Linked DNA regions of Pelodiscus sinensis. The protein of the gene in region 2 purifies or fractionates together with the protein of the main gene of each other region. This does not show direct contact. Links are inferred from orthologs where the notes say so. Each region holds a gene or a part of one and is shown on either strand. Other genes may lie near its edges.

What was found.
Region 1: the proteins of NPM1 (region 2) and NCL purify together in Homo sapiens (affinity purification with mass spectrometry; 8 studies listed by BioGRID and IntAct, counting the BioPlex papers as one, with this or other methods). This does not show direct contact. The link is inferred for Pelodiscus sinensis from reciprocal best matches to the Homo sapiens genes NPM1 and NCL.

The regions. Positions count from the first base shown.
Region 1 is NC_134720.1:50,310,350-50,318,328, reverse strand, and holds the start of NCL (nucleolin), read right to left. Parts: upstream 3,011-7,979; 5' UTR 2,894-3,010; coding exon 2,876-2,893; intron 1,869-2,875; coding exon 1,758-1,868; intron 186-1,757; coding exon 1-185. UniProt on the Homo sapiens protein: Nucleolin is the major nucleolar protein of growing eukaryotic cells. It is found associated with intranucleolar chromatin and pre-ribosomal particles. It induces chromatin decondensation by binding to histone H1.
Region 2 is NC_134727.1:4,855,123-4,862,739, reverse strand, and holds the start of NPM1 (nucleophosmin), read left to right. Parts: upstream 1-4,602; 5' UTR 4,603-4,695; coding exon 4,696-4,759; intron 4,760-5,454; coding exon 5,455-5,534; intron 5,535-7,384; coding exon 7,385-7,504; intron 7,505-7,617. UniProt on the Homo sapiens protein: Involved in diverse cellular processes such as ribosome biogenesis, centrosome duplication, protein chaperoning, histone assembly, cell proliferation, and regulation of tumor suppressors p53/TP53 and ARF.

The DNA of each region.
Region 1 (7,979 bases), on a different chromosome or scaffold from region 2:
ATCACTTTTTTCTTTGCATTTTTTCCATTTTTAGCTCCTTTGGCTGGAGTGGGAACTGCTTTCTTGGCTTGTGTAGCAACTGCCTTCTTGGCTGGAGTGGCAACTGCCTTCTTGGCCGGAGTGGCAGCCTTTTTGCCAGGTGTAGCTGCTGCTTTTGGGGTTACCACCTTCTTCTGAGGAACACCCTTAGGGAAACAAGACAAATCCAATGAGCATACGCAACTCCTAAATTGATTGTTCAGCTAATGAATGATATCACTACCCATCCCACCACAACCACCTATCCACCACAACCATTCAGCAAGCTAGCTCTTCTACTGGAGCACCTAGAAAGAGGGCCAATGACTATACCATAGAGCCACCTTGGCGGCTCACCACGGACTAAACGACTGTCCTTCATTTACATATAAAATATAAATCTCCCTGTTACATATGAACTTGTGCCACACCTATGCCTGTTTCTGCATCACCCACCCCCCGCCGCTTCCCTCCACATCTTGGACCTCTTGTGGTGGTGGGGTTAGCAAGTGCAAAGAGAAACCAATATTAAAAGTGCTTGGTAAGCGCTGAGTATTACCAGGTACCCTTACTAACAGCTACTTTGTTTGTGATAAAATACCCATAGCTAGCAACTCTTGAGTATTCGAGGGATGTAAAAATGTGAACCCATAGCCACTAAAAATAATGAATTACATGTGCTGCATGCACTGCGATATAAAACTTATATTGCAAAGCCCAAGCAAAGCCTCCCTTGGAGTGGAGCCAGCAGAAACTGCTGCTGGTCCCACTCCCAGGGAGAAGGCTCTGTTGCCAGCCCTGCTCCTGGGAGCCATCGTGTAAGCTGCAGGGGGTGGGAACCGCCATGGACAGCACTTGCTCCGGTGGTCCTGGCACAGCTCCCTGTCCTGGATAGGCGGGAAGGTGCTCCAGCCCCCACCAGTTAACCGGAACTAATAAACCTCAGCCGTTACAGATGAGGCTTACCGGATAAGCTTTTACATCCCAGTATTCTCCCCTAGCTTTATGGGAAAAGAACAAATTGGAAAATAATTAGTTCACTGAAGTGTTCCCTCAATACACTCAAAGCTTTACAGTGCTACATTTGAAGTCACTGTCTCAATCTATTTATTCCTCTATTTCATTCAGTGAAGGCTTCTGAGTTGTGTTTCTCAAATGATTAATTTTCAGTAACGTGTAACTGAATAGTTGCGTAATGGCATCATTTTTTTAAGCAGATACATGACTATTCGATAGTCCCTGGGGTGGAGCCGGTATCCAGAGCACTCCAGCCCCACACCTGGGCAGCCCCCGTGCCACTTTGCCCCCCCCCCTTACTGTCTGATATGGGGGCAAAAGTGCAGAGCAGCAGCAACCCCTGTCTGTGGGGAGATCCGAATTCCCTACAGAACTGCCTCTGCTTCGTAACAAAGGCCGGGGGGGGGGGGGGGGGGGAGAAGAGGAGGGGCGCCACATGTAGCTGACAGGATGAACTGGTAAACTTTTTTTTTTTTTTTTAATTGTATCCTTTGGTATATATGGTTGTGACTACTTTCTTCCACTATTTGATCTGAGGAAGTGGGTCTGGCCCACGAAAGCTCATCATCTAATAAACCACCTTGTTAGTCTTTAAAGTGCTACATTGTCCTGCATTTTGGTAAACTTAGGCTTTTTAGTTAATTGTTTAGTTAACTACGTGTCGACATCCCAATTCCCAAAGTAACATATAGCAAGCTAGAATCCAGATGTAAAATGATCACCTCTTCCTCACTGCTGTCTTCTTCCTCGGAGGACTCCTCCTCCTCGCTATCATCTACATCTTTTGGGGGGGGAGGAGCCACTTTCTTCTGTTTGGCTTGATTCTTCGGACTCTGGAAGAACGCACATGAGAGGTCACCCACTTAAGCTTCCATTGTAGAGAAATATATTTTTTTAAACGTAAAGTACCCCAAAGCCATAAAACACTTTAAGTCAAGATCCATTTTGACTTTTTCGCAAAACTGCTTCCAAACCGGCCTTGCAAGTGGTTGATTACAACGGGAGGGGGGGGGGGCACCCCTGCACGTCCACATCAAACCTAGGAACCTGCTGGCCTGTGTCCCCCGCATTAGGGGCCCAGGCGCTTCCCACACCACGTGACACGCCTGCTCACGAGCCACAGGGCGACTGCAGAAATTATTTTTTTACTGGACCAACTCCTGCGGGGGGGGGGGGGGGGGGGGAATAAGCCACGCGGAGCGCAAACCCGCCGAGGCTGCGGTGTGCGCGCAGGCGCAGAGCTTTAATGAGACAGTGGATGGAGAGGGGGGGGGGAATCCCTGGTGTATAGACACGCTGCCCCCCCCCCCCCCTTCAGACAGGGCCAAGCCCGCCCCCTATCGCGGCTCGTGCAGCCGGGGCCTCGCAAGCGCCGGGCGCCACAAAGGGCCTGGAACCACGCGGGACAGGCCGCGCCGCGTGCTCGCCGCGCCGGGGACACCACGTGGCCGCCCCACGCAGCCTGAGGCCTTCCCATCCGGCAGCGCGCGCCTCCGGCTCCGCCCCCCTCCTCTCCCCAGCGCGCGCGCGCCGACCCTCTGGCTTCCGCCGCGAGCCCCGAGGGGGAGCCTAGAAACAACTCCCCCCCCCCCCCCCCAACGGCCGTAGAGGGGCCTAGAAACCGCCCCGAACGCAGCGGCGCGGACCGCACCAAACCTAACGGGGGAGGGGGGAGGCACCATCCCCCCCCTCAGGGAGTCCCGAAACCCCCGCGCCAAGCGGCCTCTTCCCTCCCCCCTCCGGGCTGGGGCCTGGCCGAGTCCGCCCGGGCCTTCGGCTCGCCGCGCTGGGGCCTAACGGCCGCGGGGCCCCCGGGCCTGGCGCGCGCCGCGGGCCTCACCTTGGCGATCTTTACCATGATGGCGGCGGGGCGGCGCGGGCCGATCCGGGTGCGACAGGCGGCGGCGGGAGCAGCGACTCGACTGTGTGCTGCGCTGAAGTGAAAGAGTGAGCGCCGCCCCTCCCCCAGCCTCCCCCCTTGCTTATGCTTCGCTCCGCCCCCCATGGTCCCGCTCGGCCAACCCCTACGCGCGTCGCGCTTAGCTCCGCACGCCCGCCCAATCGCCGAGCTCCGAGGGGGGGGCATTCACACCAATCCGCGCGGGCTTGCCACCGGCCAATGGGAGCGCGCGTTACAGCGAGAGGTCCTGCCCGTTGGGGAGGAGGGGCAATATAGCCAATAGGCGGCTGCGCGCGGATGGGGTTCGGATGGGGGAGGGGATGGGGAAAAAGGAAGGGCGCAGCACGTGGCTCTGGGGGAACCACGTGCGTCTGGGACTTCACGCTGCGAGCACAGGGGTCGGGTCCTTACCCCATGGCGGGGGAAATGGGGGGAGACAGGAAGAGCCTGGGGCCGGCGATCAACCCAACCCTAGGGGCATGTGGCTGCATAGGAACCCCCGCCCAGGGACTAGGACAGGGCGATTTGCGCTGCTGATGACTTAGAGAGGGAGGTTTCTTAGTGATCTACACTCTTTTATGCTACTGCCCATCACCATGGTATCTGGGTTCCTTACAGTAGCAAAGTTCCTCACATATAATCAGGGTCAAATCTTGACTTTGGATAAGGACTCCCCCCTTTGTTTTGGTTTGTGAGAGTTTAAGATTAACCTATTTTCTCTCTCCCAATTTTCTTCCTTATCTTTTCCCTTCCTTCTTTATCCATCTTGCTCCTCAGTACTCTGTTTCTATCTTGTTCTTTGGAGGGGTAAGTCAACAATGCAAGTGAAGATGTAGTTGTAGTACAGTGCATTCCTGTGCTAGTTTTAATCTAGTTTAGGTAACAGTGGCACAAGTTAGCAATCAGAATGCATACCCAGGCTGCCCAGCTAGGCTAGTCTGTGATGAAGCCTTTGCCACCACTGTCCGGCTACGGTAGACTGTCATGTCTAGACTGTCATGATTTTCCGGAAATGCTTTTAACGGAAAAGTTTTCCGTTAAAAGCATGTTCGGAACAGAGCGTCTAGATTGGCACGGACGCTTTTCCGCAAAAGCACTTTTAGGCCAATCTAGACGCGCTTTTGCACAAAAAAGCTCTGATCGCCATGTTCGTGATCGGGGCTTTTTTGCGCAAAACTAATCTCAGCTGTCTACACTGGCCTTTTTGCGCAAAAGGGACTTTTGCTCGAACGGGAGCAGCATAGTATTTCCACAAAAAGCACTGATTTCTTACAGTAGGAAGTCAGTGCTTTTGCGGAAATTCAAGCGGCCAGTGTAGACAACTGGCAAGTTTTTCCGGAAAAGCTGCTGATTTTCTGGAAAAACTGACCAGTCGAGACACAGCCTCCATGTGTGCTTTACTGTCTTTGGTTACCAGTGCTACAAATCACACTGTCACTTGCAGTATGTATAGACATACCTGCGGAACACAGGCCAGACTGTGGGTTATGCTCACTTCCAATGGCAAGTGAGATAATTTTGCATGGGCAGTGGGTGACGCTTCCCCTGGGGGAGGCTAGCTCCGTGTCCAGTCTTCACCATAGCATTACTGACCCTGTCCACACTCCACCTCAGGTCCCGTCCCCCCCCAGCCTCCGTGCTTCACTCCTGCTGCTGCTGCTCACCACATCCTTCTCACTCCTCCCCCCACTGCTCGCTTCCTCACGTGCTGCCTGCCACTTCCCTCCTCACCCCTGGCACAGCGGGGATGGAGCATGTGGCGGAGAAGAGGGACACAGCAAGTGGTGGGGACTTACTGAGGAAGGGATGGGGGGGAGGGAGCAATAGAGTAAATGAGGAAAACTCACCAGGAAGCACAGCTACAGCAGGAGGTTAGGGTCTTGGGGAAGAGACGGTGCATCCATGAACCAGGTGGAAGGCAGTGATGGCCGCCCCCTGCCTATCACACTCACCACCCTGTGCAATCTTGAATTTAGATGGCATAAAAAGTAAGAGCCGTGGCACATAAGAACGCCTAGACCAAAGGCCCATCTAGCCCAGTGTCCTGTCTTCTGACAGTGGCCAATGCCAGGTGCCCCAAAGGGAATGAACAGACCAGTGATTTATCCCTCATAGACTTGGAGGGTGCCTCTAGACTGGCAAGATTTTGTCTAGGGTGCCTCTAGACTGGCAAGCTGTCTACACTGGCCGCTTGAATTTGCGCAGGAGCGCTGACTTTGTAATGTACAAAATCAGTGCTTTTTGCACAAATACTTTCCCACGCCCACTCGGGAAAAAGCCCTCTTGTGTAAGAATACTTGTGCAAGCGGGCCAGTGTAGACAGGGAAGAACTGTTTTGAGCAAAAAAGCCCCGATGGCTAAAATGGCGATCGGGGCTTTGTTGCGCAAAATCGCGTCTAGACTGGCCACGGATGCTTTTGTGCAAAAGTACTTTTTGTGCAAAAGCATCCATACCAATCTAGATGCGCTTTTGTGGAAATACTTTTAACGGAAAAACTTTTCTGTTAAAAGTATTTCCGCAAAATCATGCCAGTCTAGACGCAGCCATAGGCTTTTAAGGTCAGAAGGGACCATTATGATCATCTAGTCTGACCCCCTGCACAACGCAGGCTACACAATCTCACCCACCCACTCCTGAAATAATCCGCTCACCTATATCTCAGATATGGTTTAAAGACCCCCAAGATGCAGAGAATCTTCCAGCAAGTGATCCGTGTCCCATGCTACAGAAGAAGGTGAAAAACCTCCAGGGCCTCTGCCAATGTACCCTGAAGGAAAATTCCTTCCCGACCCCAAATATGGCGATCAGCTAAACCCTGAGCATGTGGGCAAGACTCACCAGCCAGATACTATAGAGAACCTTTCCTGGGTAACTCCTATCATCCCTCCATTGGCCAATTTACCATTGATAGTGAAAGGTCAATTAGTTACCAAGATCATGTTATGTCATCAAACCATCCCCTTCATAAACCCATCCCTTGTCACCCATTCCTAGCTTCTGACAAACAGAGGCTTGGGACACCATTCCTACCCATCCTGGCTAATAGCCATTGATGGGCCTAACCTCCATGAATTTATCTAGCTCTTTTCTGAACCCTGTTAAAGTCCTGGTCTTCGCAACGTCCTCTGGCAGGGAGTTCCACAGGTTGACAGTGAAGAAAAACTTCATGGTTTGTTTTAAACCTGTTACCTATTAATTTCATTTGGCAACCGCCTAGTTCTTGTGTTATGGAAAAGAGAAAATAACAGTTCTTTATTCATTTTTTCCACACCAGTCATGCTTTTATAAAACTCTATCATGGACCCTCCTTAGTCATCTCTTTACATGCAGATGACAGATTCCATTATACACACTAAATAATCTTTGCTGTTGGTAGATCCTATTCTGTACAAAACAGCTAAGATTTCACAGTGCAACCTGTATAAATCCAGTACATTTTAGCTGACAACACTGTCGAGAGCCCATTAGGCATGGCATTCTTCAAACAGAGTGGCTACGTCTACACTGGCCCCTTTTCCGGAAGGGGCATGTAAATTTCACTAGTCGTCGTAGGGAAATCCGCGGGGGATTTAAATATCCCCCGCGGCATTTAAATAAAAATGTCCGCCGCTTTTTTCCGGCTTTTAAAAAAGCCGGAAAAGAGCGTCTAGACTGGCCCCGATCCTCCGGAAAAAGTGCCCTTTTCCAGAGGCTCTTATTCCTACTTCCTCTTATTTCTTATTCAAAGTAGGAATAAGAGCCTCCGGAAAAGGGCACTTTTTCCAGAGGATCGGGGCCAGTCTAGACGCTCTTTTCCGGCTTTTTTAAAAGCCGGAAAAAAGCGGCGGACATTTTTATTTAAATGCCGCGGGGGATATTTAAATCCCCCGCGGATTTCCCTACGACGACTAGTGAAATTTACATGCCCCTTCCGGAAAAGGGGCCAGTGTAGACGTAGCCAGTGAGAAGCAATCCCCGTCTCAAACAGCTTAATCTATAAAATGTCACCCCTATCTGGAAGTGTAGACATATCCTTACAACACCTTCTGTCAGTGGCACCTATCACTTCATTTTCTGTGACATCACAATTCCCTAGGACGTATTAGTCACTATATTCTCCATCTCTGTGGCATTAATTCCCCGCCCACTCTGTACCGGAAGGCTGCAATGTAACAACTTTAACCAACTCAACATGTAAGTAGAGAGTGTGACAGAAAAAGGAAGATTGCATCTGCCTGACATGCAAATCAGCTAAATCTGCAAGGGGCTGGAGTTTAAATCTCTCACTCAGGGTTTTCCAGGAGGAGGCGTCAGAACCTCTATTTTTAATTTAAAAATCATAAAAACTGGTTTTTTGGCCCAAAATATAAGGCAGGAGGCAGATCTTCATAACCCACGAGTTGCTTGAGCTGACAAATGCAGAGAAGCTGTGAGCATAGTTAACATTCCCTTGAGATGAAGGGGAAAGAATTTCTCACTTTTCTTGTCGCTATTATTTTATTCTTTCTGGGGATTTACAGCGGATGGAAAAGGGCAAAACTGTAATTCAGCACAGGCTTGTCTTTACTAGAACACTAAATTGTGTCTAACAATGTTTTTAATTATGGTAGAGGGCCTGCTGCTGGCCACGTCTGACTCAACAGGGCACAAAAGGACAAGCCGTGGTCAAAGCAAGCATCATGTTGCAAGTGGTGGGTAGACCGGGAGGCCAGTAGATTTTCTCCTGAACTAACTGACAAAATGTTGACTATCATTTGCCCATGTCTGTGCTAGGGATGTAAAATCCCATTTCATTGGTTAACCAGTCAACCATGTTTAACTGGTTAATTGATTAAAGAGGGACAGGTGGGGGGTGCCTGGGTCGGAGCTGCTGTAGCCTTGCCAGGGCAGTCCCTTCCTGTGCCTCCCCTCATCCCCCTCAGATGCAGGCAGGAGCTGTTTCTGCCCAGCCCTATCTGTGGTGGGCCCAGGTGCATTGCAGTCGGGGCTTCGGTTGTTGCGCCCAGGCCGGCTGCGGCCAAGACAACCGGAGCAGCCTCTGCCTGCGACAACCCAGGCCCGTTG
Region 2 (7,617 bases):
CTGTTTTATAGGCTCAACCTGGCAACATTAAATCTGTCAGAGCAGGGACTACAGGGCATCTCCACTATAAGTCGCCCCGGTATACATCTGTTCTGCAATAAGTCACGGAGGCTTGTAGGAATTGATGTATTATAAGTCCTCCCATTCCCTGCTCTTAAATCATGCAAAAAACCCAACAACCCACTTTAAGTTGTTTTGTTTTTTGGAACGTATCTTGGACTTAGGGCGAGTATGGCCTGTATAATAATACAGTTCTATGGTTAAAATACAAACCCTAATTTAAACAGGAACTAAGTTACTTTCAACTCCCATTTTCCTCTTCCTTGTACCTCAAGGGTACATCTACACTGCGGGGGTTTCCAGTATCCTGGAAAAACTCTGCTGCGTCCAGGGAACATGTTTACTTTTCCGCTTCTTTTTGCGGAAGTGCAAACGTGCTCTTTTGGAAGCCCTGTCTTCCATGAGGAAGAAGGGATCTTCTGAAAGAGGGGGATTCTCTGAAATTTGGCCCAGTGTAGATGGGCCAAATTTCAAAAAAGCCTCTTAAAAAAAATCAGAAAAAGCTGTAGTGTAGACCTAGCCTAAGTAAGTAGCTCCTTAAACATCATCTTCTGAAGTGAGAACTGATTTTTGGTTCTACGCTAGTCTACCTTACTCAATACTGCTTAGCAGGAGACTGGTAAGAGGGGAAAACAGGGACAGTTCCAGGCTTCCAGACCCAGAACAACCAACCTACCCACTTCTTGCCTTGTGCTAACAAATTCGAGGAGCACTTGCAGCCACATACTTGCCTTGGAGATGGCTAATCCTGAAAGTTAAAAACCCCTCAGTAATAGCCTCTTAAGGGCTAACATATTGAAAACTGAAGTTTACAATGCCTACAGGCAGGGGCAGATGACCATTTCGCGGGGTCCAGGGCAGCATAATTTCGCGGGGCCCCCCTTTGCCACGGCGCATGCATAGGGCTTCTTGAAGCACGGAGCCTGGGGCGGCTGCCCCGCTTGCCCTGCCCTATATCCGTCCCTGCCTACGGGACTTCACTCTGCATTCAATACATGTGTTCATGCCATGTTTGAATATTAATAATGTTTTTAAACTTCTCTGGGCAAAACTTAAGTTCTACCTGTAACTAACAAACAAACAAGCAAAGAAAACAACCAAGCATCATTGGTCAAAGGTATGAGAAGCACTCTGAACTGCTGGTAATATGGGGCACCAATGAATCCATCCACTGAAGCTGTGTCTGGGCTGTTTATAAGCACAATCAGCCTCAAGACCAGCTGAGTTGCAGCTGCTTTTGCGGAAAAACGTGCCAACTGTCTACACTGGCCGCTTGAATTTCCGCAAGAACACTGACGATCTCATGTAACATTGTCAGTGTTCTTGCGGAAATGCTATGCTGCTCCATTCGGGCAAAAGCCCTCTTGCGCAAATGCTTTTGCGCAAGAGGGCCAGTGTAGACAACGCAGTATTGTTTTGCGCAAAAAAGCCCCGATCGCGAAAATGGCTTTTTTGTGCAAAAGCGCGTCTTGATTGGCACCAACGCTTTTCTGCAAAAAGTGCTTTTGCGGAAAAGTGTCCATGCCAATCTACATGCTCTTTTCCGCAAATGCTTTTAACGGAAAAAGTTTTCCGTTAAAAGCATTTGCGGAAAATCATGCCAGTCTAGACGTAGCCCTGGAGTTTAGGTTCTTCAGCTTTCAAGAGACAGATTCTCTATCAGCAATGGCAATACAGTTATTTAGAAATGTTATATTTCCAGAACCAGCACCCCCTCGAACACCCTGACACACCTCCAAACCTCCCCCCAGAGCTAACACCCTCCTGGACTCCAAGCCCTAGCTCTGAACCCGCTCTCAGAATTAGCACCCCAAAACCCCACCTCAACCCTTAGCCCTCCCTCAGAGCCAGCACTTCATACCTAGAATTTTTGTTCAGTGTCCACCTCAATAGTACCCAAAAGCCAAGTATCCTGAGGAGTGGCAATCTCTCTTCCCCCTTTAAAAATAGCCTCTTTTGTTTTATTTCAATGTAATAAGTGTGTCCCTCACCCTTGCACCCCATTCACCTCCATGCAGTGCAGCACTCCCATTATGTCTGTGTACAGTGCAGCACTCCCTGTGCCCCCCATCCTCATTCATTTTTACAATTCAGTCACCTCCTGCATCCCCATCCACTTCACATACCCATCCTATTCCCTCTTCTCTTCTTCTCTTCCCCCTCTCACTCCCATCTTGGTCATGTCCTTGGGTTCTTTCACTTTCCATCCTCTCCTCCCTCTCCCTATCTTTTCTCCTCCAGTCCAGCGGGGTGGTTTATGCAACCCCTGGTTGTCCCACAATGGCAAAAGATTCCCTTATTCCTGATTTTAAGAGGAATAAGGGACCTTTTGGAAAAGGCTTTATTTTCCGAAAGATCCCCGTCTAGATGGTGCTTTTTTCTGGCAAGGCCCCGAGCCGGAAAAAAGTGGCAGCCATGTTTATACAAATGAAGCGGGGAAAATTTAAATCCCCGCTGCATTTGCAATTCCAACTTGTCTCATCTGCATCCCTTTTCCGGCCAATATGTTTGTTCCTCTAAAATAATAATACTGTCGCCCAGTAGAGACTTATGATTGAAGGAAAGAGAACTTTAATAATAGCTTTAAGCAGACTATGGAACTCAGTTCCAAATGAAATAAGAATGACTGAAAACCTCACTATGTTCAAAACTAAATACAACACATATCTCTTTGATTTAGCTAGCATTCCTTAAATTTCCTTAAATAGTGTTCCTTCTCTCTCTCTCACACACACACCATAAACCAAGCAACAATCTATATGTTAATATTTTCCTATGGAAAAAATAAAAAAAGGAAATTTTGTAGTGTTAATATGAGCTATGTTATGGGCTTTTGCTGGCACAGCTATGTCAGGCAGAGATGACATCTCATCACACCCCTGACATAGTCAGGCTGCCAAAAGCTGGCCGTGCAGACCTGACTCAAGTGTTATAGTTGCAAAATATGTGAGTTTTCAGAAGGCCAGGAATACGTCTGAGACTGCGATCAGCCCCATTCATCTTAGTGAGGTGTTAACTCAGAGTCCCATATTGGTAATTTGAATGTGAACATTTTAACTGCTTCATTCCTCATGACAGGCCTTATCTGTCCAGTGACACCTCTTGAATAATATTGATTTATTTAAAACAGTAGGGTCATCTTAGGGCAGACACATTATAGTCCCTTGGCTATATCGACATTATACTTACTCGAAGGCAAACGTTCTCTCATTACACCATGACCCCTTCTGACAATAAATAATGCTACGTGATGCCAGGGCGGGGGCAAACCAAAGCCTGAGCCCCACAGCCCTGGGCAGTGGGTGGAGGAGGCAAAGCCGGAGGCCCACTGTCCTGGGAGGAGGGGAAAAGCCCAAGCACTTCAGCCTCGGGTGATTGTTCCCAGGGATGGCTTTTGGTGCACATGGCAGCATAGGGCGTGTGCATCTCCAGGTGGATCACATGGAAGAGCCACACTTGCTCAACAGAGAACAGTGGGTCCAGCTTGCAACCTGAGCCTTACCAGGGACAGCTGCAGCCCTGGGACCTGTGGCTCAGTCTTTAGCCCCAGCAAGTCTAACGCCAGCCCAAGCAGCCAGGCTGTGTCTACACTGGGCCACTTATTCCGGAAAATCAGCCACTTTTCCGGAATAAGCTGCGAGCTGTCTACACTGGCCCTTGAATTTCCGGAAAAGCAACGACGCTCTACTGTACAAAATCAGCCGCTATTCCGGAAAAACTATTCTGCTCCCACTCGGGCATAAGTCCTTATTCCGGAACACTGTTCCGGAAAAGGGCCAGTGTAGACAGCCCAGTAGTCTTTTCCGGAAAAAAGCCCCGATCGCGAAAATGGCAATCGGGGCTCTTTTCCGGAAAAGCGCGTCTACATTGGCCACAGACGCTTTTCCGGAAAAAAAGCTTTTCCGGAAAAGCAGCCTGCCAATGTAGACGCTCCTTTTCTGGAAAAACTGAAAACGGAATAGTATTCCGTTTTAAGCAGTTCCGGAAATTCATGCCAGTGTAGACACAGCCCCAGTGTTCCCTGTAAACCATGTGCCCGTGCGACTGCTCAGGAGACATTCAAATGCTGATTTGCAGCGTGGGCGTGCACAGCTGGGTGTTGTTTCTGGTGGTGGTGCACATTGGCACATGCCTTAGTGCACAGACACATTTTATTCCACACACGATGGAAAAAAATCCGCACGTGGACGCACTGGAGGGCGCGTTGGTGGCCACCCACTTTGGGGTCCCCAAGCACTGGGAGGAGCAGGGCTCCCCGGCGACGTCACACCGTGGGGTGAAGGGGTCTGGGTGAAGGGCCTGTTTAATTGCAGCACAGACATGGGGGGGGGGAGGGGCGCTCGCCGCCATTTTGAACACACGGCGCCCCTCTCCCCCTTGGCCGGGGTGGGAGGGGGCAGAGCTCGCGAGAGCTCACGCGGCCGGGCAGGAGCACGCGAGCGAGGCCGGCGCAGGCGCTCGGGGGTCGCGTGGCCGCGGCGGCGGGGGAAATCCCGGGGAAGGGGCGGGGCTGGAGGGCGCAGCTCTCGCGAGAGCGCCGAGACTATATATGGGAGTGGGCGGGGAGCAGGCGTCCCTTAGTGCGATTCCGTCCGGAGCGCTGCCGCTGCCCGCCGGAGGAGCAGGCCCGAGAGCATGGAGGACAGCAGCATGGACATGGAGAGCATGGGCCCCCTGCGCCCCCAGACCTTCCTCTTCGGTAACCCCCCCTCGCCGCCCCACCTCGCCGCGCGCGGCCGCCCGCCTCGTGCGTGTGGCGCAGCCGCTTGGGCCCAGGCCGCGCGCGGGCTTGTCGCGCGCGCTCCAGAGGCCGGGCTGTGAGGTGGGGGCGCGCGACCAGGCTTGGCGGGCCTGAGGGAGGGGGGGGGGTGGCGGGGATGGCTCTAGGGGCGGGCTCCCCCGCCCCACGTGGCGCGCGCTGGCACGTGGCGCCTGCTGCGGCCTCCAGCTCCTGGCAGGGCCCGGCGCTTTGTTCTCTCCCCTCCCCCCTCCGAATGCCGCGGCGGCCGTTGGTTCCTAGGGACGCGCCTGGGGCGCACGTGGCAGCGCGTGGAAGGGCCGCGTCCGCTCGGCAGAGCACGCGCTGGGGTGACCCTGGGGGCGCGTATTTACCACGTGATCCCCCGGCCAGCCCGCGAGACCCTTTGCAGCTGGTGCAGGTCGCCCTCGGGCCCCGTGGGTGACCCACTGGGCGGGCCACGTGCTCTGGCCGCGGGGAGCTGCGGTACCCAGACTGCGCCGGCTGCTTTCCGCTGCTCAGGCTGGGGTGTGGCCTGCGGAGGCGTCTGCGTTTTGCACCCGCGTGCAGACTTCTGAAACGCGGGCTGGGGATGCTGCGGAAGCGGAGAGACGCAGCGTTTCATCGCCAACCTACTCGCCCTGTGTCTCTTGCAGGTTGTGAGCTAAAAGCAGATAAGGACTTTCATTTCAAGGTGGATGATGAGGAAAACGAACACCAGCTGTCACTGAGAACAGTAAGTCCTTGTCTCAGGAAACGCACGTGGGAGAGCTGCAAGAATGGTTTTCCCCTTTCCCAATGGTGGGCAGCAATACATGTGAATAACTGAATTATTCTCCCAGCCTGTCCTGCTGTGTTCAGCATGGAATTCTGTGTCTCTTTGTGTTTTGGTGCTGCATCGTGACATTTATAAAAAAAACTATTATACTACTATAAAAAGTAATTTGGGGTCACTGTAAAATTATATGAAACTTTTCTATTCTGTCTGTAATTTTTACTAGCTTTTCTTCATAATTTTTGAAGTCGTCAACAGTAATTGCCTAAGAACCCTTGTTTTGTGAAGATGAAGAGAAACCAACATTTAAAATAAACATATATTCTAGATTGGTACAGAGGAACTCTGTTTTGGAAAAGTGAAAGGGATTTGTAATACAAACTGAGTATTTATTATATCTTTCTCCACTTCTAAAATAAAACACCCAGATGTTGAGCTTAAATATTTTGTTACTAAGCAATTTGTTCACTTATTTGCCAGTCGCACAATTCAGTATTTTCCATTGTAAGACTTGATGTAGTACAACTTCACTTTTGCCCCATAGCAGGGTGAAGGGATTTAAATCACTGATTTTAATCATGACAAGCAAGGAACCACAATTTAAATACACAGTTTTAATTGTGGGTTTATAAAGATGTTGATTTTCAATTTATGAAAATATTTTGATTTGCAACTACATACATTCTTGTTTTTGATGTTTTATGCTAGCCAGGTTACACTATATATACAGACTTATTTAAGCTATTAAATAGCATAACGTATGTTAGAAAATGGTGAATGCTGCGTTTCTCTATTAGATTCTCATGCTATATTTTAATAGAAATGCAAAATAAAATACACAAAACAACTTTTTTAACTTTATTTAATAAAACTTGTTGGTACATATGAAAACAAAAAGTTTGCTGCATTCCTCACTCTGACTGGGGAGTGCTTTGCTCCTTCCGAAAGGGGAAAGAGCAAGCAGCCCTGGTACAGATTTTGGAGGATAGGCTTTTACCTACATAAACACACAAACCCCATCTCACTCCTGCACACGCCCCAAATTCCCAGCCCTCTGCTTTGAGTCCCTCCTTAAGGAGCCAAGCAACACCAGGTAAATGTGCTAGTGTACTATAATGTCCTGCTCAGATGAACATATATGTTCATTACTAGAACAATGTTTCTCATAATAAATGAGCATGGTTTCCCTGGAATCAAATGTATTTTAAGTCAAGGATGATCTAAGAAAGTTCACAGTAAAAAATACTGTCTTAAGTTTCTGTATCTGCGACTGTTTTGCTACAATCCTAACAGTAGGAAAAGGTATTGCCTCTAATGCAGTTAGCGTGGGATAAAAAACTATTGTTCTACATACACAAACTTCTAGCAGCTAAGGTTACATGTACAAAAGCAAAAAAGGCCACTTGCCAGCAGCATGCCTGCCTCCTAGCCACACTTCAACACTGATCACATTAACTGCATGAGTATGGAGGAATGACAGCCTTCACTTCGAGCAGCATCACTATGGAGAATTTGTTCTGAAGTATTCAACATTCATAATATGATGTTTCATAATTTAACAGATAGTAATTTATTAGTACATAGTAAGTTTTTAAAGAGTAGCCTGTCCCTTAAATGTTACAAGGTCAATATAAAAAAAAGCTACAGAACATAGTAAAACATAAACAAGAAATGTCATACAAGATAAAAATATTAAACTCATGAATGTATTGAAGATGTATTTGAATGTAAAAGTTTATCGTAATAATTTTACAAGTTAGAATGGTGGTTCAGCTTTTCAGAAAGGATAATATATTTCACTTCTTGCATAGGTTAGTTTGGGTGCTGGTGTCAAAGATGAATTGCATGTCATAGAAGCTGAGGCATTGGACTATGAAGGGAACCCTATTAAGGTCACACTGGCATCTTTGAAAATGTCAGTACAGCCTACGGTAAGGACAAGCCTGTACATTACCACTTCACACCAAAGTTTATTAATAATAGTCTCACTAAGACATACTAACACAGTGGAAATCATAGTAAAGCAAATCCTTGTTTCTCACGT